Lepisosteus oculatus: one gene and its partner. The protein of the gene in region 2 interacts with the protein of the main gene of each other region in a biochemical or structural test. Links are inferred from orthologs where the notes say so. Each region holds a gene or a part of one and is shown on either strand. Other genes may lie near its edges. The genes, in order: cntn1b and ptprb.

The links.
Region 1: the proteins of ptprb (region 2) and cntn1b form a complex in vitro, tested with the Homo sapiens proteins (2 studies listed by BioGRID). The link is inferred for Lepisosteus oculatus from reciprocal best matches to the Homo sapiens genes PTPRB and CNTN1.

What each region holds. Positions count from the first base shown.
Region 1 is NC_090702.1:30,812,895-30,825,648, forward strand, and holds the start of cntn1b (contactin 1b), read right to left. Parts: upstream 5,035-12,754; 5' UTR 4,862-5,034; intron 3,372-4,861; 5' UTR 3,280-3,371; intron 1-3,279. UniProt on the Homo sapiens protein: Contactins mediate cell surface interactions during nervous system development.
Region 2 is NC_090702.1:23,005,533-23,018,205, reverse strand, and holds the start of ptprb (receptor-type tyrosine-protein phosphatase beta), read right to left. Parts: upstream 6,742-12,673; 5' UTR 6,700-6,741; coding exon 6,645-6,699; intron 5,637-6,644; coding exon 5,235-5,636; intron 1,276-5,234; coding exon 629-1,275; intron 1-628. UniProt on the Homo sapiens protein: Plays an important role in blood vessel remodeling and angiogenesis. Not necessary for the initial formation of blood vessels, but is essential for their maintenance and remodeling. Can induce dephosphorylation of TEK/TIE2, CDH5/VE-cadherin and KDR/VEGFR-2.

The DNA of each region.
Region 1 (12,754 bases), about 7.8 Mb from region 2:
TGTCTTGAATTGCAGACGTTTGCGGAGTCAGCACTGTTGAATGAATCTCCATTCATTTCCCAACCTTAATGAAACGCACAAAAGCATGAGTGATGAAAAAACTGTCATATTTGATGATTTAGATATTTCAGTGGCCATTTACCCTAAAAACAACACCTGAGCAACAAGAGGCACCTATCAGTAAATGGTCCAACTTTTACCACTTCAAAATAAAGTGGTTCAACACTACTAATACAGTATGTTTAATTGAACAAAGAGGGTAGAACTGAATTAATGTTATTAAAAATCAAATATTTAAGAATGTTATGTATCTGTCATTTTTTTTTATGAGTACTGATTATTTGAGTTCACAGTGAAAAAAACAGTAGTAACTGCAATGTATCTTTTTAAACTTAATTTAAAGTTTACTTCTGATAACATTAGATCTAGTGAGCAAAATAATTATATATTGTATTTATAATAATTTCCTGGTTTTACTGTAAAAACAATTCTGGATTTAAGTTGCCATTCATTGTTTATAGCAGGCTGTATTTTATTCTTAGAATACATCTTATCAGTCTTGATGGATGCAAGATCTCCGATTTAATATAGAACTAAACCATAGAAAACCCCTACTGGAATAAAAAGCAAATAATACACTCCCTCATGTTATATACTGTACATTAAATTTATTTTGTTATATGCTGTCATTAATAAAGTATTTTTAATAAATTACATAAAACATTTTGATAAATTTGAATAAAAATATTTTTTACAAACTCGTTATAAACATTTTTTGCATTTACAGTAAACTGTATTTTGAGAGCTTTCTGTTGCTTTTTTCACTTAAAATTGTATTTGTCACATTAATAATTCTGGCACAACTACAAAAAATACATGTTGAAGCTGATTGCCAGGCAGTGGGCAGAGGAACTGAATCATCCTAGCCCACGCTGAAACGTGTATTATAGATCCTCTGCCATACCTCTCCATCAAATTCCACTCAAACAGCTCTCAGACATTTCAACTAGAATAGTTCTTAAGAGGTCTGCACAAATAATTTCAGATGGAAGAATTTCACATACATAGTACACAAATGATTTCATGACAAGATCCTATGATGCACGCATACATAACGTATATTAATTAAGCTATCGGTCATCTTGTAGAGACACATAACACACAACAAAGTTTTAATTATCTTTTCAGTGCATTTTTGGGGCATCTGCTTGTTGTTGTTAGGACTTCTTATACAATGAATTATGTGACTTTTGTAGTTTTCTTACGGACATTCTCTTGGGTTTTCTTCTAACATACTGATCATACAGTAAACACCAAGGTTTTTCCAGTGCCTCTGTAATGCTGAACATTAGGAAGTATATAGTAAGATGGTGATCAGTACACACAGTTTGAAACATCACTGTTAAAGCCTTGACCAAGGAGACTTATGTAATACTGAACTAATTCCCCATCCTCTCCTCATAGACAGAAGGGGACTGGGTTCAGGAACTTTTTATGTAATGACTAGGTATGAATGGGAAGTAATAGAAAATTATAAATTCATAAACATAAGGAATTAAATACCATAAAATTACAAATGGCAAAAATGCCCCCGAAGCCACATTTGGAAAATTTGTATTTGTATAATTTGTACTTCAAAAAGCTGCATAATGTCATATTTTAAAACAGTTTCTTTGATGGTAAAGCTGAAACTATAGACACACTTAGCCAGTATACCATTTTAAAAAATTCAAGTAACTGAAGCCTACATTTCCCAAAATGATTTGTCCTTTTAAAAGTCATCCTTGTTACACCCAGAATTCGAAACCACTTAGAGAAACTACTTCTAAAACACAAAGGATAACATTATAGATTTTCTCATTATTTATGTAAAGTCTCTTAATAAAGATTGATGTCCCATTTTCCAGTACAGAAACCCATGCAAGAAAGATAATTGGCATTAACAGTTTATCTTAAGGTCCAAGTCTATAGGGTACTATGGACAATGAACTGTGTATAATGAACTATTACACAGACACTTGGCTTTAAGCTAATGTATTACCAAGCTTTTACAATAGGCCTCATACTTCAAAATAATGACACTAGAAATTTTCTCAAAAATATCACAGAGAAAATATTGTAAGTATAATTCAGTTCTTCAGATTAGTAAATAAAGGTCCTGCTAACAGTCTTAGCCATCCTTTAGGCAAGTAATAAAACTAAAAACATCTCATTCTCAGCTCAACTTTGCATTGCACCAAAATTATTTAACAAAAAGGTTCTTCATGATAAAAATGTTCTTTTCCACTCAAATGTCACATTTTCTTCTATATTCATAATTCACTAGATTATCGAATAATCACAAATATAGCACTAGATGATTCCCTCCCACAGAAGCTCTTAAATCAGTTACAGGATGGGACACAAGAAAATGTGAGCCTTCCTCCTTCCACTAAGGTATCTAATTTTCAGAATCTTAATGGTGAAGTTTCTAATTTTTGTATTAAAGTTTATTTCACAGTGAATAATCCTTGTTAATCCATGTTGTTTCTTCAAAAATTGCAATTTACCATCTTAGAAAGTTTTTTTTAAAAAGATTAAACCTGAATCTGATGAACAATCGGATAACACATGATCTTATATCATTGTTGCACTCACAATTTGGCTGTTTCATGTCCATCCTTAAACCTTAGCACTGTTTTTCCTAAACTGAGTGCTTGCTGTTATTCATCTTATAAAGGAAAGTGCAAGCTTGTTAACCCACTGCAGTTTGATTTCGCACTAAAATATTCCTGTCCAGCAGGATGGTTTGTAGTTATGTTGATTCCTCACAGAGATCAGTGCACGTGAGCTGTCTTATCCATAGATTCACCAAGAGTGCAAATTGAATAATCTATTATTTTTTAAAAGAAAAGTACTCTCTGACATAGACAAAATAACAAACCATACAACTGGTTTTCTAAAGCACATTTGGTAGTTTTGCAAGACCATAAACATTCCTACAAGATGACAGAAGAAAGGACAAGAAAACCCTTTCAGTATACTATGTCTAATTCCACACAAAACAATAAGGGTGAAAGGGAGAGGAGCATATGGTTGGGTAAGGAGTTGGTGGAGATCAAACGCCTTCTGATGGTGGATACTGTCCTGGGGATACTACTGTATTTGGAGTAGACCATCAAATCTAACATGCACATTCTCAAGAGGAAGAACCAGTGGAAATCCAAGTGAACAAAAGAAGAACATGTAAACTCTGCACAGACAGGCACCGGAGACTCAAACAGGTCTCACAGCACTTACCAGCAGTGCTAGATTCCACAACACTGCTCCATCTAGAGAAGCATTACAAAGGTCTTAATTCAGATGTGGTCTCTCTTTCACAACAGCACACCCTAATAAGATGGAAAACATGGGTTTATTGTACAACCCAAATTTTCACCAACATCTATTTCATTTGTAAAGCTAGGAAATATAATTTATGAAACCAAGATTTGTAGGAAACCCTGGCCTAAACTAATGATGATTGGACAGAATGCCCACACTAAACCATACTGAAGCCTCAGTTCACAAACTGAAGCTACAGTACATAAATGGAAAGCTTAGATTGACTTAATAAATGTTATGAGGTGCAGCTCTGTTCAAAAATAAATAAAATATGCTTGATACTGTATATAGGCCATATAATTTTTACGTAACAATACTTTTAGTTATTGAAAAGACCAGAACATTACATAAAATATTTTTGCTTAACAATACTGGCATCCATACTCTTCATCATAGTATTTTATTTAGGATTATTATGTGGTCAGCAGATGCAAATACTCTCCTATATTGTTTTGAAATATAGCAGGGGACAGTAATGTCAAGGAGAGTTTGCTTAGCATCCTAGTTAAAGCGCAGTGTGACAGTGCAAATGATGTTATCTGAGGACTCAAGAAATATGAAACACGAGATGAATTCGTACATTTAAAAGTGTGCAGATCGCAATTATTTTAACAGCAACGGGTATAATTTTCTTCATTATACCAGGGCTGTAATCTAAATGCAGATGAATCCGTTGATATCTCACGGCTGAGAGGCTAGGAGAACCAAAAGCCTCCACCGCTTACTAGACAGCCACGCCCATTGACATTCTACAGCCTTTACTACTTAACAGTAAGTCTGTCCTCTGCATCCTTTAGCACCAGAAACGGAGAAGACCGCAATTTAAAGCGTTTACAGTCCACTCGCATGCATCCTCGTATTCGACCTTTTTGTCTGAAACTGGCATTCACCGTGACACTTAAAAAATCACAGTTATCTCATTTAAAATCACATGACCATGAGATATTTACGGTTTATTCTAACATGCGAAAAAAATTATTCATTGCATTTCGTTAGCTTTTTGCAGGGGAAATAGGTTCTAGACTCACACAGCCTGTTTGTTTTCGCCGTTTTCCCCTTCTACACGATTACAATGAATCTTGGATAGGTGTAATTGTGGAAACTGCTTCTTTTTTCAAATACAAGTAGAGAAGCCTATCCAGCTGAAATGCAGATTTTTACAGCGGTAAAAGCAAAAAAGCAAAACTAGTGTTAGTGCATGCAAGGTGTATCTACTGTATGTAAAAAATCTCAACATATGCGCGCATATGTGTCTTGAGAGAAATGTTACGTCAGTACAATTTTACTTTAAACATATGAAACATTTTATTTTTTTCCAGTGCAAACGAGTCTATGAATGCCAAGTGAAAGGAGGTACGGACAGCTGTTGTAATGCACGGTCTGCATTGCGGTAACCCAACTGACAGGTTTATGCATTACATATTAATAAGGAGACTGGCTGCCGCCGTGACAATAACAACTTGAGTTCAATTTTATTTTCATGTTTCCGTTTTCTTACCTGATCTTGTGGACCGTCTGTCCGTGAAATCTCTGCAAAACACACCTGGGTCAGCACCGCACCGCTAGACAAACAAGCCCGACAGACAGATTCTTCTATTGGATACTAGATGATGACAGACGCCGTGGTGGTGGTGGTGGAGCGGCGCTCATGTGGCTGCTATTGGACGAATGCGACGCCACTGAAACCTATTAGTATGAACACATCTGAGCAGAGATGCCAGTGATAGCTGCAGTAGGTCCGCAGTCAAACGTTTGAAGAGCTGAGTCAAAAATCGTGGCAGTCTTTTGCAGCTCTGTGTTGAAAGCATGAACGAAGACTGTAGAGACAGTTCAAAACAATTAAAAACAATTAACAGTGTCCCTGACATAATATACCTGAATTATTATTATTATTATTATTATTATTATTATTATTATTATTATTATTATTAGTGGTGGTGGTGGTGAAGTAGATTGTTGTTACATGGCCTTGCTGACAGACATGCAGACATATACTTACTGTTTCTTTATAAATGTCAGAATCTCAAAGAACACCTTGAATGCAGCCTGATTAAGTGAGCAAGCCTGAAGATTATTTTCACAGTCTGACACTAAGAATGGAACTAACATTTGTTTAATTTCAAGCGTCTCTCACTGTATATACGTCTATAATATATAACATAGATTTAACGCTAACATCTGGGGAATGTTAAGTCAGTGCGACCATCAGTACAGCCATCGAATATGATCTTGCTTGATCTGATTTCTTTTGAATAGCTTTCTCTTTCGCAATGACTGCAGGTGCCAGTTGAATTGATGGAAAAAACGTGGCCCCTTCAAGGCAAAACTGGTCTCTAATTGTAGTTAGTAAGTGGTTTGCCTACTTCATTATAAGACTTCATTATAAAAATTCTGTACAGTATATGATGAATTCAGCTATTGTGATATCAATTTTCTTTTCTATATAATTATTTCTGTATAGTTGGCATGATGTTCTGAATCATTAGTAGTTTTTATTATATATAATCACAATATCATCTCCAATAGACCCAAGTACATCCTGAAATCTGCTGATCTCTTTGTGCTGAGCATTTGGAGGACTGGTTTAAATAATATTAATTGATGAAATTCTGTCAGTGTTACACTTTTGACCAGGAATGTCAATAATCATTTTTTGAGATCCATTTCCGGGGACTGCCTTGCGTTAATTTGCCCTCTTTTGGAACTAGAATACCTGATGCAACCATGGCTTTACCAGTTTTTTTCCATGAAACAATCTGGGATCTTCAGTTTTAACACTTACTTGATCACCTCACTGCTGCTAATAATTCATATTGAGGTTTTTCTTTGTAGACGGTATTTATCTGCAGACCTTGAGACCTGAGAACCTGCAGATCTGTTAATTTACTGAATATAGAGAAAATGGCAACTACTGTATGAATACTGTCTAGTGAAAGTTCAATAGCCAACCTGGAGCAACACTGGAGCAACAGTTCAATAGCTAACCTGGAGCAACACTGATGAAACCAGAAATTCTTTCATGAAAATCAGGATGTTGTTTGCAATGAGTTGTTTTTGCTATGAGGCATCACAGTTTTAGTTCTTCAGTTGTCTTTTAAATATTGCCTGAACTTTATTCGGAAAAATTTAAGTAAGACTGATAGCACACACCATAGAATGTGCAAATGAAATTCAAGGTAGAGCTCTGGAATGAACAAACACCTGGCAGATACAAATAAAATGATGAACTGAGCTTCAAGATGCTTTCTATGAAAAAGACATAGGTGTGTGTGTTACGTTCCACATCCCTCCTCTAGAGGGCACTCCTACCCCTTTCTGTTATGATTAGTTTCTATTATTTCCTGGTGTGTCTCTTCTGGTTTTTGGTTAAAAGGCTAGCATCTCTGCAGTTCCTGTCTCAATATTGGAAGATGGATGCCACAAGGCTTGCCTGTTTTCCAGGTTGTCCGAAGGCAGGCCTTTTCCCGGCGTCCTGACCGCCTGGTCCCTGGTCCCGTTATGTTTTTAGTTCCTGTTCCTGTGCCGGTTCCGACCTGGTTCCCATTTTTGACTGTTTGTCTTGGATGGATCTCCCGGTGCTTGGATTATGGACTGCGCCCCGACTTTCCTTTTTGGACTTCCTTGGACTTGGTTGCTTCCGCATTTCACCCGTGCACCTGCTCACTACCGTCACCGCCCCCTGTCTTGTCAACCCATCCGAACCCCGTTGCACCGTCCTCCGTTGTCATTTACAGATTCTACCATCCACATAGGGTCTTTATTAACACACTCCACAGGAGTCAGAACCAGCTCCCTTGACAGTGTGTAAGTAATAATAATAATAATTGCTTACACTTATATTGCGCTTTTCTGGACACTCCACTCAAAGCACTTTACAGGTAATGGGGTCTCCCCTCCACCACCACCAATGTGCAGCATCCACCTGGATGATGCGACGGCAGCCATAGTGCGCCAGAACGCTCACCACACATCAGCTATCAGTGGGGAAGAGAGCAGAGTAATGAAGCCAATTCATAGAGGGGGATTATTAGGAGACCATGATTGGTAAGGGCCAATGGGAAATTTGGCCAGGACGCCGGGGTTACACCCCTACTCTTTTCGAGAAACGCCCTGGGATTTTTAATGACCACAGAGAGTCAGGAACTCGGTTTTATGTCTCATCCAAAGGACGGTGCCTGTTTACAGTATAATGTCCCCATCATTATACTGGGGCATTGGGACCTACATGGACCGCAAGTTGAGCGCCCCCCTGCTGGCCCCACTAACACCTCTTCCAGCAGAAACCTTTGTTTTTCCCAGGAGGTCATGATATGGCTGATATGGCTGCTGGTGACATTCACATCCACCAGAGAATGTCAGGAAAGCAGTAAGAGGCAAATAGTCTCAGGATATATAGTTAGATCCACAGAATTTAAATTAAAGGATATTATTTAGATTGTCCAATGTACATAAAACCCCCATTTATAATAGTGTACCATTTTTAATACGATTGTGGCTGTTGAATTGGTCCAGAGAAGTGACCAAGTATTTTCTTGGGTTAAAAGGAATGATCTGCAAGGATTGGTTAAAAAACAAATCTTCAGGTTCAATATAGTATTGCCATAATAGCCAGTTGCATGAAATTTAGTTTAATTAAAATATCCATACAAATCTATACAAATATTCAACATAGAGCCAATAAAACCATCCCTGAACACATCTGTGCATACCAACATAATGCACACCAGTAATTATATATATATGCAAATAATACAAAGTGAGCCCAGATAAAATAACAACGAGCTACACAAAAATTTCAAAATCAAAGTACTTAGCTCACACATCTCACAACTACTTATCAGAGGAGAGGAAAGTATATGGAAGATGGGCAGTGATGCGATCCCCGCTTCCCGGCAACGGAGTTCAATTAGCAGAAGAAGGCATAGACCATGCTGAATTAGGCCATCTATCAGATCACTTATTCACCACCACACCTCAATCTCATTATATACTTAAGCACAGTCTTCCCTAACCTCCTGGCTCAGTATTGGTTTTCCATATGAGCTTCATTACTGCTTTACGCTTTTTCTCGTTTACACCTTTTTGGCTTGGAACTGCTTTTCTATGTTGGACCTATGGCTTTTGGATTACAGCTTGGCTTTGGAAAGTACACACCTTGGTTTTAGATTTCTGGCTTTCTCCTCTCAACTAGGTTGAGGTCTCCTCTCGGGTTACGGCTTTGACTCGGCAATCACGCTCTCTCGAATTTAGGATTACTGGCTTCCCCTTTTGACTGAGTTTTTTTGAATTGCGGAAAAGATCTTTTGCAGGATTATTTCCCAGACCCCACATTAGGGTTTATATCTTAGTTTTGGTTTTATTAGCCGGACTTGTAACAGAATACTGAGCCTAATAACATGGACCCAGTGGAGCAAGAGGAAATTCATTTTAGATCAACACTGGCAAGCTTTAATCCAGTTACAGATTTCTGTCCAGCAGATCTCAGCACACCTGTCCGCTATGCAGCCCACTAGAAATACTGGAGCAGACATATCTGCACCGCCCATGCCACTGGCCACACCTGCGACTCAACCTCTACCACTCACCCCACCTGACAGGTTTGACGGTAACCCCACCAAGTGTCGGGGTTTTTAGCACACTGCTCTCTGTTTTTAGACTCCATCAGAAACCTTTCCAACATCTCAGGAAAATATAGCTTTTATAATTTCTTTGCTCACTGACTGCGCTCTGGAATGGGCTACTGCATTGCTAGATCGCTGGGCTTCTGAGGTACAGGATTACGACCTCTTTCAAGAGAAATTATAGGGTTTTTTTTTTTGTTCATCTGCTGGACAAGACTCCACCTCCAACCTCTTATCTATCCGCCAAGGCCGCAGGTCGGTGCAGGAATATGCTATTGATTTTTGGGTAGCAGCGGCTGTGACTCACTGGGATGATGAAGTCCTTATTTTTCTCTTTCGGCAAGGATGAGGTGAGGAAATAAAAGATCACTTGGTAACAATGCCACTGTCAGGCAGAACCTTAGAAGTCATTATTTCCCAGGTGATTGAATTAAAGGTCAGAATCCGTCAAAGAGGTCATGAAAGATCCTGGACACGAATGCTTGAGGTTTCTCGGCAACCACCTACTAGAACCCTAGACTCAGAACAACCAATGGAAATACTGTAGCTCACACCAAGTTAACCCTGGAAGAAAAAGAGAGATGCTGTCTAGAGGTTTATTGTATGTACTGTGGGAAATTAGGGTATTTCGGAGTCGCCTGCCCTGCATTATACTCATCACTGAGGTGCCCCCCAGCCACCCAAGATCCTAAAGTAAGTGAGATTACTAATTCTTCTCAATTTGCTTCAGGATTTTTATTCCATCTATGCTATCCTGGGATAATAAACATATGCCTCTTCTTGCATTTATTGACTCAGGGGCAGCAGGGAACTTCATAGATGCCTCTATTGCTCATACTTTGAACTTACCCCTGACCCAGGTAATTCCCCCTCTTTGTGTGCAATCTTTGGATGGTTCCCCAGTCTCTCCAGGACTTATAAAATGGTAAACTAAACTAATAAGGTTGCAAAATGGCACCACCCATGTTGGAGACATTTGGTTTTACCTCCTGGAGACCCCATTACTTCCCTTAGTATTAGGCTCTCCATGGCTCCAACAGCATGACCCCCACATTTCCTGGTTTCGTAAGGAAATTCTAACTTGGGGACCCTAATGTTATACTTTACCGGTGAGAATTGTGCTCACGGAAATGCCTCTATCCGAAGTTCCAACAATACCCCCCCAATATTTTAACCTAAGGGAAGCCTTTGTTGAGCAAGAGGCCTTGGCTCTCCCACCCCACTGACTGTATGATTGTGCGACTGACCTTTTTCTGGGGACAATCGCTCCTAGAGGTCGTATATTTCCACTCTCCTATACTGAATCAGAGGCTCTGAAAAAATATATCCAAGATTATTTGAAGGCTGGAATTATATGTCCATCCACTTCGCTTGTATGTGCCAGTTTTTTTTGTGTGGAAAAAACAATGGTGGGCTACATCCCTGTATTGATTATTGGGGTCTCAATGAGATCACAATTAAGAACCAGTACTCTTTGTCTGTAATACAGGCAGCGCTTGAGTCCGTTCACAGAGCCAACATTTTCACCAAATTGGATCTACAGGGTCCCATAAAATTTAATCTGTATTCATGAAGGGGATGAGTGGAAAACCACATTCATGGTGACCCATGGACCCATGGACATTATGAGTACTTGGTCATGCCTTTGGTTAAGTAAATTCCCCAGCTGTTTTTCAAACCTTTATTAATGATACTTTTTGAGTTTTAATACAAAAATTTGTCTTGGTATACTTGGATGATATTTACATTTTTCCAATAATTTCCATAGCTCAGCAAAAGAACGCGGCGGACCAGCAACATCGAACTATACCCAGACTTCAATGTGTCTAGTTGTCTACCCGCAACCTTCCACTAAGGCAACCATCTTGCAAGCTTGCCCCTAGGTACATCAGCCCTTTTTGCATCCTCACACAGATCACTCTAGTAACTTATCGACTGGCCTTGACTCCTACCCTTAGGATTCACTTTACATTCCATATTTCCCTCCTTAAGCCCTTTCACAGATCCACTTTGTCGAAACCCCAACCCAAGCCCCCACCGCCTCGGGTAACTGACGGACATCCCGCCTTTACTGTGAATAAGATCCTAGACTCCCGTTGGTCTCATAGCTGCCTCCAGTATCTTGTTGATTGGGAAGGCTATGGCCCAGAGGAATGTTTGTGGGTACTGGAGAATGATATACTGGATCCAACCCTGATCCGCTATTCCATCACAACTTCCCTAATTGTCGTGCTAGGGCGTCAGGAGCCGGCACTTGAGGGAGGGGTAGTGTTACGATCCCTGCTTGCCGGCAACGGAGTTCGGTTAGCAGAAAAAGGCATAGACCACTCTGAATTAGTCAACCTGTTGGATCACTTATTCACCACCACACCTCCATCTCATTATATACTTAAGCACAGTCTGGTCTTCGACTCGGCAATCACACTCTCTCAATTTAGGATTACTGGCTTCCCCTTTTGACTTGTGGAAAAGACCTTTTGCAGGATTATTTTCCAGCTCCTGCATTAGGGTTTATATCTTAGTTTCAGTTTTATTAGCCGGACTCGTAACAGAATACTGAGCCTAATAACATGGACCCAGCGGAGCGAGAGGAAATTCACTCTGTTTTGGATCAACACTGGCAAGCTTCAATCCAGTTACCGATTTCCGTCCAGCAGATCTCAGCACACCTGTTCTCTAGTAATACTGGAGCAACAGCATCTGCACCACTCATAACAGGTAGGGTGGAAAGGGATGGTGAGGATCTTTAAAGCTTTGCATTTTAATCTAAGGAAGTAAGCAAGTCCACAGAGGCAAGGTGGCATCCTACTGTTTTAGAGGTGAAATACACTTCCCTCTCTTACTGTTTTCCTGAGCAAAAGTGTTGCAACACCACATAATGACGGAAAAGGTCAAAACACTCTCAATGACATATCTGTTAAAGAGGATCATTGCTTACCATGACACACCAAACTTATTTAACTGTCTGTTTGAGGAATTTATCTGCTTTCCCTTAAAAAACAGTCAGGATTCTCAGAAGTTAAAATAAGTTTTTTTTCATGTGCATTGGAGTTAAATACACTGAGAGATGCTTGGTGTTTCTTTTCTCAAAGTAATTAAATAAGAACAGTTCTTAAATATTTTTCTGTTATCTATTATGCTTCCCTGTGCTTATCAGATTGGCAGCATTGCAAAATCATTCTCATTGTCCTCTTCCAAAGATTACTTCTTTTAACACAAGAATGTGTTAGCACGTGTTCCTATATAACACAATACAGAATTGCATAGTAGCCCTTATGTCCAGCATTGTTCCATTTCACTTCAAACCAGTTCTGTATGTCCACCTTATAAAATACTGCAGCGGCAGCAAAACACTATATGCACAAAGTTCACAAAGACCCTCTCAACATGTCTTAGAAAGACCAACCCCTGGTGAGCTTTCTTGATGGGTATGTTAACCTCCCATTCTAGAGTAGTGGAGACAGTAGTGCCCATCACTTAAAATGCAACTTTATGTATAGTGTATAGTGGTGAGAGTGCTCCCTTGGCTCACCTAAAATCTACCACAAGTTTGTTTTATTGATATTTATTTCCAGGTTATTTAGGCTACACCATTCAACTAGTTCAGCTACTTCATTTCTGTATACTAACTCACTGATGTTTGTGATGAGCCCTATAAGAATATTACCATCAGCAAACGTGAACATTTTGAATGAATCTGAATGTGAAATACAGTCATTTGTGTACAGTGAGTAGAGGAGAGATGATAAGACCCAACCCCAAGGAATGCA
Region 2 (12,673 bases):
GACAGATCCACTTAATTTAAAAGTATAAAAACTGAATACACTATTATGATATTGTGATGATGCTGTTGGGGTGTTAAGATCAATATTCCGATGTTGAAATATCACATGATCATGCAGAATAGCATATTCATGGCATGAGCATCACCTGTTTCAACTGGCTACAGAAATATTCCAGGATCTTTCTCACATTCAGTCTTCATGCTACACTGTGGTATGACATATATAATAGTATCCAGTAGTTTCCTTTTTAAATAAGTAAATATGAATCTATTAGCAGTCTACAACACATTATCAATAACCAATAATCAATGTACTCATTACTTAGGTTTGAAATATTTTAATTCAAAATAAAATAAAAACACGTATAAACGAGGATGCAATATTATGTTGTCTGTATATATGTTTGCCATAACTAGTTAGTAAGAATTCATAGCTATGCTTGGAATTTTATTCTTGCATAACTTTGGCATACATACATAAGATAGAGAATAATAAAAGTTATGCCATGAGCACTGATAAGCAATTCTTAAGGATCTGTTCTTTGATTGTGTGGATGATACTAGTAATTAGTGTTCTCTGCTATCTAATTAGTTACCCCATCCACCATCAAATATCAGTCCGTACTCACCTGTTCAGTTGTGACAGTGGTGGAGTCAGTTGCTGGCCCAGTAGGTTGTGTTGTAACAGAGGAAGTTGTAGTATGGATAGGTTCAGTTTCAGGACTCGTTGTAACAAATCTTTCAGAGGCCACATATGTGACAGTTTGTGTCTCAGTAGAAATCATATTGTTAGGAGGAACAAAAGTCAAACCTGTGGTCAAAACACTGTTTTCAGTTAGATCTGTGCTGGTGACCATCAATGTGGTAGAACTTTGCAATCCTGTACTAGTGGTTGCAGTGAGTGTTATAGCTTTATCTGTATGGAATATATCTGTACTGGGAGCAGCGCTAGACTCTGTAACTGTAGCAGTAATATCAGCTTTCCTTTGGTTTGCAGTTGTGCTCATAATAGTTGCTGCAGTGGTGCTATGTACAGGTATTTGGGAATTTGTACTCGTAGTTGTACTGGCCGTACTAGTACTTGTACTAGTTGTACTAGTGCTTGTTGTACTAGTTGTACTAGTACTTGAACTAGTTGTACTAGTGCTTGTTGTACTAGTTGTACTAGTACTTGAACTAGTTGTACTAGTTGTACTAGTACTTGTACTAGTTGTACTAGTACTTGTTGTGCTAGCAGGTGTAGACACAATTGGTGTAGTTCGTTCTGCAGCAAGACCTGAAAAACATAAAAACACTTGTTAAATTGTGTTCTGTTTTTAAGATTGACACAGAAAAGTAAAATACAGTAACTAATTTAATCCAACACCGGCATACTGTATCAATTTAGACAAACCTTCCACGAATACAAAATGCTCAAAGGGTCCACGATTTGCCTTCCACAACAAATTTCTGCAGAGAGAGCTAAGAGACCAAAGACTGCTGATCTGCTAGAACCAATCCTAGGGTCTTTTTGATTACACTTCACCTGAGACCAGCTACTTACAGTAACTGGGCTTTTAATTGTAACTTTTTATTTTTATTTCCTACAAAGCACACACTTGGAATTATGATAACATTTCATAGGTAACCTAAACAAACATCAGAAGACACTGGGATCCCCAGAGCCAAGACAGACACGTTCTGCTGCTCTACTACAGATACTGTACCTGCAAGCATACTGTATGAGCAGAAAAATTCAAACTTAAGGAGATTAGAAAGGGTATCGGAAGTCCATCAGTCTTTACGACCAAGTTCATTACAAGGGCTCAATAATAAGCTGCAATTGGTCCCACCAATGTTGATAACGGTACATCTCATATCTAACCTTATTCCAAATTTTATTTTTTAGTTCATTGTTTTGCATTGCTCTTCATAGAAGTTTTTTTATAAACTAAATATACAGTAAGCTTCCCAAGCTTCTCTACCTGTCTGTGTGTCTGTGTCTCATGGAGAGCAAGCTGGGGTACTTGAAAAGACAAATTCCTTATGCAAAAAATGTATATGGCTAATAAAGTGATCTCTCTCTCTCTCTCTCTCTCTCTCTCTCTATTATGAGGGAAACATACCTGTAGTAGATGAAGCCAGCCCTCCTACATAATACATATCTGAATTGAAACATTATCATGCAACCAATTACCAGAGCCAGCGCCAGTTTGATTCCTTTGGAAGCATTTTATTTTCTTTTGAATACTCATGCAGTTTCTCACAAATAAAATCCTTTAAATGCATTCATATCTGGCATTTCATATCAGAAATGCATCTAGAAACACAGCCTATAAGAGTACTTTTTGCACTTTTTTACTCAGCCAGATATTCTGATGAAAAAGAAGTCAATATGAATCTCTGAAAGTACTTTTAATACAGTGGTTGAAAACTGCCGATAGTTATTGCTGTCCATAGCAGACACTTGAGTTTATCTGATAGGGGCTGGGTTATTCTTGCACAGATAAAGAACAAAGCAGACTCACATGTTTTTGGAGTTTGTTTTTAGCTGTGTTCTACCACCCTTAACCTGGGTGAAACAGTAGCCTTTTCTCTTCAGGAAGATGCTGATTTTTAGATATTTCTCGTGGATTACATGTGTATTGGTGGTGAGGGTGTTGTAAAGTACTGTTACAAAAGTAGATTTTCTTCTGTACAGTATAACAAATACTGTACTACCATCAAGATTTATATACCGTTAGTGGAGTTTAGGCAAAGTACAAAAATGCCACAGGATATGTCAAAAGAATATGAATAAGAAGGCAGAATATGAATATGAGATGAAAATCCATTTTCCAGTATTATGTTGAGGAAAACTTACAGATTTCTACAACTCTATGTCAATTATGCAGAATACAGTCAGCTGTTGAAAACCCCCCCAAATGTTCCATTGTGTTATCAGCATATGAGTCAAAGTGAAAACCATGATGGTGAATAATATCAGCAAAAGGCATAGTGGTTCAAATACATAGTCCCATATAAGGACTCATAATTAATTTTAGCCCCAGGAATAGTTTCAATTCTGTAAAGGAAACAGAAACAATAGACAAAAAATGCCATTCACCCCACATAATTTCTCCAAAGTGAAAAAATCCTACATATTGAGAGAAAGCTGTAAACACCAAGAGTGCTAGAGCAGATGGTTCTCCATTTTAACCAGCAATTCTTCAATACCGTAATGGGGTCTAACCAATATAGAGGACAGCCAGTTCAAAACAACCTATTACAAATACTACAAATATTCAGTAGCATCTCTCTCATCATGCTGGTGCCAAGAAAGTTAGAGCAAAAAGTACTTGCCACAAAATATACAGGTAATAAAAAGCAAATTCCCTTTGCTTAACAGCACTACTAAATTTCTTGTAAAAAAAAGGTGAGCCTTGTAAATTCAAGACAGAAAAATCCAGAAAAGATCAAATCAAACTATTATAAATCCAGTGTACGCACATCGCTACAGCTACTTAATATTTGGTTGTTAAGGTGAGCTGTTATTTAATCTGACTTTATGACATAAAATATTTATATTGCACTGAAAAGAGCAATCTATTGCAAAATATACAAATACTGTATATCAAGGCCCAGAACTATTATCCAAAGGCAAATTCTTCTCACAAGTTAGCTAGAACTGTGGTTTAACACAGCCTTTACACCTAAGTCAGCTGAATAGTGGGGTATACTTCAGATGGTTTTACAGCATTGTTATACAGCAGGTAATGAAGAGAAATCAAACTGGACAAAATTAATAAACTTCCAGAGAATGTTTTGTCAATAACAGTCCAACAAAACTTTCAAAACCACAACCTTTTCAGGATGAAGCAAGTATGAGGATATGTTTGACAAACACTAAATTGTAGTTGCATGATTTAAAAACAGAATCTCTGTTTTGCATTTTTTAGACATAACAGTCCCAATGAGGTTTTACAATTAAATCCAAACTAATTACTGTATGTTGCAGAGCATGTGTGCAAACAGAATTCTGCAGGATCTAACCAAGGGATTTTTCTGACACCCTCTACTGTTTGCAAACAAACAGTATCTACTGTTTGCATCCTTCACTGATGTTTCATGCACAGTATGCCTCCCTGATTTAAAAGATTCAATCATTTTGTAAAGCTAGGAACAAAACGTCTTTTGAAACCGTACTTTAGAAGCTAAATAAATGAAGGAAATCCAGGAATTTATTTGAATTAAAAACACATACTTGGCATAACCCACAAAACAATAATCCTGATGGATGCTTCAGAACCTGCTGCTCTTTAAAATGAAATAAAAAAGTAGAGCAATGGCATCATATTGTATAGAATGTACAAAATACAACTAGGTGTTTGTTTTAATTTCTCAATAAAGATGTCTGAGCCAGAAGTGTCTCTCCTGGGGAAAAAATTAAGTTAGTATCACCAGCTTGAGTTCCTCTGCACCTCTACACCAGTTCTATACTTCATCTGAAAATGGGTACAACTAGGAAATGGTTACCCTTTTTTCTACCATTACAAGGTATACTGTATGACTAAAAGGTGTATTTGACGATTCAAAGTGAATAAGGCACATCGGGTATCTCAATCTAATTGTTCTGAGAGGAGTTTAGATGTGAAGAAGTCAAAATAAGACGGTCACCTCTCATAGAGGTCTGATTAGTGATTAGAACGGTAGAATGCAGGACTTTGCATTACTTATCACAGACAGGGTGGATGAACTTGTCGGCCATGGTCTCAGTACTGCCAAATTTGCCAGGAAGAGGAGAGATTGCTTACGAAATTCCTGTGCCTGTGTTTGGGTCGGTCAAATCCCTAAGCACAATGTGCAGGGAAATGGGTATCAAAAGTAATATCCTTTACTTTCATTTAGACCAACTTTAAAAAAAAAAAGCCAAGCCACTGAAAGATTTTAGAATATTCACTATCACACGGTACTTGCCGTAATCACAATTCCCTTTCCCCTTGTTACCGAAAATGAAACAAATCATTTTCACAGATGTTCAGGCGCATCCCGCTGATGGAAGGCGGGTAACCACAGTACTTCTCTCATTTTGGCAAGTTTTCAGAACGCGTAGTTTTTCGTGCCTGGTAAGTCACAAGCGCGACATTTACTGTATATTGCACCAACAGCAATCGCCTTCAACGATGTTGCATGTTTAACCTTAAAGATTTAAATGTTCACTTCTTCGCTGCCCACTCTCACCGCCGCTGCCAGTGCATAAGAAATGAAACCTCTCACCTTTCTTTGCACATAGACTTCCCGTGATTACTTTCCTTCCAGATTCGACCTCGTACTTAGTCCAGTTAGAATACCTCTGTTCTCCCCTGAGGACCACTCGCAGGCCCTGTTTCTTGAGGAACAGCGGACGGTCGATGACCCCGAAAGTCCCATTGTCGTCGTAGCACTTCCAGCCAGGTGCGCTGGAACATCTGCCAATGGCGGCTAGGCGTGCGTGACGAGGAAGATCGCTACTCAAGTTGAACCACAAGCACAAGGAGGACTGAAGGTGGAGAAGTTTCAAGTCGTTTGTCCACGTCCACTGTTGATAGGGACTGGTCATGTTGCACTGGACAAGGACTACAGCCTTGTTAAGTGTCGAGAGACATAGCCTTTTTGACGTGTGGGCAATTAGGAACTCTTCTACAAATAAAAAACGTAATTACTAATAGTAATAATAATTCTATTAATAATTCACGACTTATATAAGGTTGCACAATAATAGCAGAAGAATTCGACGCATTTGCACAGCCCCCTTTCATGAAGAACTATAAATTACTAACATTTTACATTAACATTTTAATATAATAAATTATTATGACTGATCTGCGTAACTGCATTAATAAGATAATATTTACGTTAGGTAACAAGTGTACGACTTAAAAGTTACATTGTTTAACTTAATGGGAAGTTTTACTATTACGATGGTAAAAAAAATCAAGGTACTGTATACTATGTATATACTGTACTGTATTAAAGTGTTCAGCAATTTCAGCATACTGCACATCATCCAAAATCATTTCATAAGCATAAACCACTTTAATTCGTATGTTTCACCTTCATCAAGTTCGGTGTTATTTTTGTTTCAGTATACAGTATGTCTTTCCAAAGCAGTTAGTAGGATTATTCGTGTAAAAACAATACACGTTTATACATTATACACATTTATAGCTGTAAAACAGTAACTAATTCCCATCTTGAGGAAAATTATAAAGAAAAAAAACAAACCCAAATATAAGAATAATACAGCACCTGCGTTTCAGAAAACATATAGACTACTAATAACAACCGTTGGATCTATTCTGAAATAATGATGTTATCATGATACCAAGACAATGTTAAGCGTACGTTCTTAGCATAACATACAACACCATTGTAAACAAAGATGCATAAATTTAAAATCGATTTATGTAAATCAGCAGACACCCAGCAGCGTAATTAGACATTTTAATGTTTGTTTTAATAAGAAATAACATAAACATAATCAAGTATGTTGGCCCAATTTCATTGCCATTGTGTAAAGATGAAAACCAGGATAGGTTTCCGTTAGGATTTGGCAAACTCTAATCAACCATCAAAGCACGTTTTCGAAACCAGCTCCAGGTTGAAAACTACAGGATTAGAAAGGACACAGCAAAGCGCATTACTTACCTGTCCTAGTAAAAGTCAGGCAAAATAATATCGCAGTCAAAAACAAGGTATCCATTTTACTTGTACTACAGTTTCACGCTTCCACTAAATTACGATGAGCAAAGTTAAGGCTTGAAGAGGAAATGCGCCTTCAGGGGAAAAAGTCAATGACGAGCACTTCCTTCTATTCAATTGTTTTAGGAGTTTCATAGTATAATATCATTTAGTGGGACTCATCAAAATGGAAGTACTATCTTTTCGGAAATAGAAAAGTACATTGCAGCTGCAATACTGTATCTCTTAACACCAGTTACTACCATATTTGTGGTGTGCAGGGCGTTAAAGTTAGCAATGGCAATTTACTTTAATGACATGTTTACGCCACCATCGTGATAGCAGGCAGGTAATTTAGAATCTGCTGAGTTACTGTGATCCTGTGAGCGTTACGATATACCACTTAAACCGCAGTGATGGTGCAGCAGGCACAGCAATATCCAAACTAAGTGTACTTTTAGTTTATGTCTGTTATGCATAAAACTCCAGAAAAGTTTGTATCCATCGCAGTTTATACCTACATACATTTGTACCCGATTCAATGTAATTTTACACTGTACATACAGTAATAACAATATTAAAGGGCAGTAAGGAAACTGGATAGTGTCTTCATTACAGTTAGCCCTTGAAAACTGAACAAAAATACATTTATATGTGCATTTCTGCAAGACATTGCTTAAGGTAGGGAAGAATTCTAAAAAAGAAGCATAGTGCACTACGGAAACAGAAACATGAGACTTGATCTTTTAAAATAATATAGGTTTATTGGCAGTATAGAATATAAAGTCAACATCAATAGTTAACAATACAGAGCCTGTACAGCCTTAGACTGCTCACTCTATCCCAGGAAACAAATATTCCCACAAGACACTCTAACCTGAGGACTCTGTGACTTCCTTTTTAAAGAATATATGTGTAACACTTATTTGAAAGCTGTGTGGCATGGCTTGTTTCACAGACAATATAACCTTGGTCTCACCTGACCATAAAGCTTCAACAGAGCCCACTCTACACCCTCCATAAGAGGAAGGCTTGTTAAGGTGTTTTACAGTAGCTGAAAAGGAGAAGATGATAAATGTTTTATTAAAGCATGGTATCAGAAAGAACTTTCAAATCAAGTGTAATATACTTCATTAAAGATAAAGACCATGTCTGTTGGGCCTAGAAGTGTACAGCGAAGTCAGAAAGTCAACACAATACAAAATGTGTTTGAAATGGTTTAAACCGGACCAATCCACCCAAAAGCAGTTCGCCCTGGATTTAAAAAATAACATCCCATGGTGTTTAAACTTGTCTTCAATGCAGCGCCTCATATTACACATGCATATGAGTACACAAAAAGCTCTAGACATTCAGAGCAAGTACTGTATCTTAACCTGGGAATCAGCATACATTTTTATAGCAGAGAGGTTGGATCAAAGAAAAGTGTAATAAAAAAAAATCCCAGCTCAGCAGAGGAAAACAAACTTTAAGATTGTAAAAAATATTTATGTACTGTACAATGTTACTGTACAGTATCTAGTGTTGACTGGATATATAATTTTCACAGTATCGATATTGCTACAAACATTAAGCCATGAATTGTACTGTTACTGGAGACTACCATCTTAACTACCATTACACAAATAACTTATAAATACAGGTTTCTACAGAAATGTCTCAATTCTGTATAAAAAACAATAAGCTTCTTTAAACATTCCAACAGAAACACTTAAACATTTTCATAAGGGTAAGAATATTTCAAAAACCTATTATGCATCTTACGGAGACTGATCATAAATTTGGTAGAAACAAATTATACTTTATAATATGGAAATGAGATTAAGGCATTTCTGACCTACAGTACCTGGATCAGATAACCACAAAATAATAAAGCAAATCTACACAGATGTAATTTGAAATGAAATTAAAAAATGTTTCTGTTGGTGAAATATATAACAGTTTATACACTCCCAAAATAAATCATACTTGTATTAAGGAAAATGGCATTGTGAGTGTTTTAAGGACTTCTTATCATTTAATGAAATTAAGCTCACAAATCTTACACATTTTGCTTTGTTCTGCTATTTTCACTTATTGTTTCTCCATTATATACAGGAACACAATTCAATGACAACTTTTAACTGACATTTTAGCTATTTTGTTTAAAATTAATAGTTAATCTTGATACATCAGTATTTTGTAGCTCTGAATGTAGATCCACAAATATGTACAGTATAAGAAACAACCTGACAATGATTCAACTAGATCTGACTGGTGATTGTGACTGAAATTAGTTGAATGGTAAATATACTGTAGTAACCACTATGACATTTCATATTGACAGTTCATGACGGCCCTAATTTGCTTTGAACTGGTGTGATCAAGAATTTAGAGAATCTGATCAATGTGGTCAATGTGAAGTAATGATTGAAAAAATGACAAGTTAGGCTTTTATTTATCCTAGACTAGACTGGATTAACAGTTATAATAGTAGAAAACATTAGTGAAAGCCTTGAACAAATTGTTCACAAAAAAAGTTGTTGATAAGATACAGATTTTGGAACTCCAGACTGTGCTTAAGATGCCTTAAGTCTTTTGCAAAGTAGTGTACATTGTTAAGACTTTTAATATAGGATAATTAAATGAACCATTTTTTTACACCTTATAAAATGAGTTGAACTGTCTTGAGGTGATGTTCAAATAGATTCTGATTACAATGTTTTTTTTTTATGTGCCAGATAGATAAATCAAAACCAGAGCTATTAATGAATAGTATATTATACTGTAACAAACTTCCCAGGAACTGAGACTTCTTGCAAATTGGCTTACAGTTTGATACCCCTATTTTTTAATGGTATCACCAATTTGCCCTGTTTCTCCTTGTGGCTAAAATCTCTAATCCACAGTAAATGAGCTGCAGATGGAAAATTAGTCTAGACTCCTACCAGTCACATCACCATAGAGTAATAGACACTGTAAGAAAGTCCACTACTGAGTTACTGCTGAAGTGTTACAAGACTGGTCTTTGCCTTGTGTTAAAGGCAGTGAATAGAGAATAAACTGGCTCATTTGGTCTCAAGACAAAAGCGTTCTTGGTGTGATTAAGAAACCAAAGGCACGAGGACCTGAATGACAAGACGTGTCCATCAATCACTTAAGTGTTGTGTCTGCGTTTCATAAAGCCACCCTACTGTAATTAGTGTCCATCGTTTCAAATTCATCTTTAACAATGAAAGTGGACCTACAGTACCAGAAGAGCAGCTACTGTCATTCCATGTCAGTGTCTATGACCTAAATTTCTCCTTACGCCACCTTTCGTAATCACTTCTTATTTCACGTTCTTTGTGTTCCGACTCACAAAGTATTTATTTTTTATTAATTGGCAACGCAGATGAAGTACAAGCCAGCCCCAGCAACCTTTAAATAAGGTGTTAATGAATAATGTAGTCATTCAGTTTAGCAGCTCTGTTACTCTCTTACATACAATTTGTGGCATACATATGTTCAGTATATAGTTTTATGTATATAAATGGGTATATATTAGGTAGTTAACATATCACAACATTCATCTTGATTAATATATATATATTGAACAGCTCATCATATGGCTTATATAGCCATCAGACCACATAGTGGATAATTTCTACAAACAGTAAACAATATACACTGACATTTTGGATTTTTACACAATAAGTAATGGGCATTGTGCATTGTACCTGCTACATACTGTAGATCTACTATAAATAGACAAATATATATTTTTAAAACCTTTGTATCACAAACAATAATTAAAAAAATCATTACATACAAAAAAGTTTCTAAATGTTTTCATAGTCAAACAGATATCTTTTTTTTCCCCTAAAATTTTAAACACTTGCAGTTTCAGCAGCAAGATGTTATGTGGTCAAAAGATATGCCAGCCACATAATTTATAATAGCACTTTAACATTTACATTGTTTTCACATGTATATAAAGTAAAGCAGTTGGGTAACATTTACATACTGTACTGAACCCCAAATTCTCAACAACAACAAAAAAAATCCTCTGCATAAAACTGACTTTAGTGAAATAACATGTAAATATCACATTTTTATAAATACGATACAAATTCATATCAGGTAAAGTCTGAAAATCTCAAAATATTAATTATAGCTGTTACCAGTAGTAGAAGTATTTGGGAGCAAAGCACACCAGCATCCATTACTTGCATTTGTTCCCTATTAGTTGTTTAATTCTACATAATCAAAAATCCTCACTTACATTTCTTAACCATCCAGTTTGGCTGATGCATATTTTAATATGTCATTATCTGAAAAAAAGGCGCTTTGAAAAGGATCTGGTGTTGAAAGGGACTGTACTGCAGCACTGAAGGATGGACTAATCTTAGTGAAGCTCTGCTGCTGGGAACAGAACTTGACTGATAATTGATCAGGATAGCAGCAGTACGCTGGCACTGTGGATGGATCAATGAATCAGGCTTCGATTACCTTGTATATGTGTTCCATGGTTCAAAAAGATGTGAAGCATTCTTGTACCAACAATCATCTTTTAATCCAACAATTTGCCCATTCTGATTCATAATTGGAATTCATTAAGTGGAAGTATACTGTAAATCATTGATGATTAAGTGAATGTGAAATAAGCAAAAACCCACCGAATACGAATGAGCTCAAAGGTTATTAGCAATGTTAATGACAGCACTTTATAGCACAGAAAATTTCAGACTGTTTCTTGGAGGCTATGGTTAGGGTTAGACAGCTTTTGCAGTCTGAGATCTATGAACCAGTGTGTAGTCTACAGGAGCAGTGCTACCCCAGGGACAGTTTTGCCTACTGTTTAAAGTGTAAAACAGTTAAAATATACTTTCTGTCTAATAAATATACTGTTTTTCTGTTTTACATATACTGTTTGTCTACTATATTTTCTTAATGTACCATACAGTACATACAGGAATGTATGTGAACAGCTATTAATCTGCATAAAGATCTGTGGACTTTAGTCTTAAAGTTGGATGAAATTATTGCTCTTTCCTCTTGTTACTGTGAGCATATTTGGAAAAAATAGAAAAGTGTGGGGTACAGTACAGATATTAAATGAAGAGGATACAATACGCTGTACAATAACTGATTAATGCAAATGTAACAGTAGTTTTCTGTTTGATGATCAACAAGTGATTATGTATTTTCCAAATTCTGATGTTTACAAACTTAAATATACCTAAAAAAAATAATATTATGCATTGATATGCTAGCACTTGCTTTAACGAATGAACTGATTTTAACAGAACAAATACTTTAAACAGAAACCTCCTTTAATTGTAGCCCCAATAAATTTACTGTTTGATCTTTGACATGGTCAGGATGTTGTAAAGATACGGTGAACAGCCCTTTAAAATTTGTAGTGATTTAACCCTGACAAACGGCTATATTAAACAGGCCATTATTAGGAAAAGTGTGTAAAACTGATTTGTAAATGTACCAATGTTGTGAGTGGCTTAACTACAAGACAAGGCTATCAAAGCCACCACCTTAAGCATAATAGGATTCAGTAATAAATATAAGCATTAAATGGCAAAGGAGCTTCTTTGGGAAACATTTCAAGCATCCTTCACATACCAAAAAGCCACAAGTAATACATGCCATATGTTCTAAAATATGTAGGCAGGATAGCTTGTTGTTGTCCATGTAGTTCATATTTTGGTAAAAGTTATTTTTGTAGCTTTCTGTGTAATTGGCAGAAAAACAGGACAGCAAAATGAAAAAAAAAGTGTATTGAGTTGAAACAGAAATCCATGTTACCTGGACCTTCATATTTTTTATCTGTCCATTTCTGGTTAACACCACTCTCCCCTACCTCTGTATTAACAATAATCATAGAACAAATTAACCAGAAAACCTATGAGTAATTCATAACCTGACTTGGTTTAAGCCTCCTGCTGCAGATGTGTCTGCTGGGACGGTTTGGCTCACAAATACTTCAACCACGTCGAGTAGAGTATAACAGTCTTTTGAAT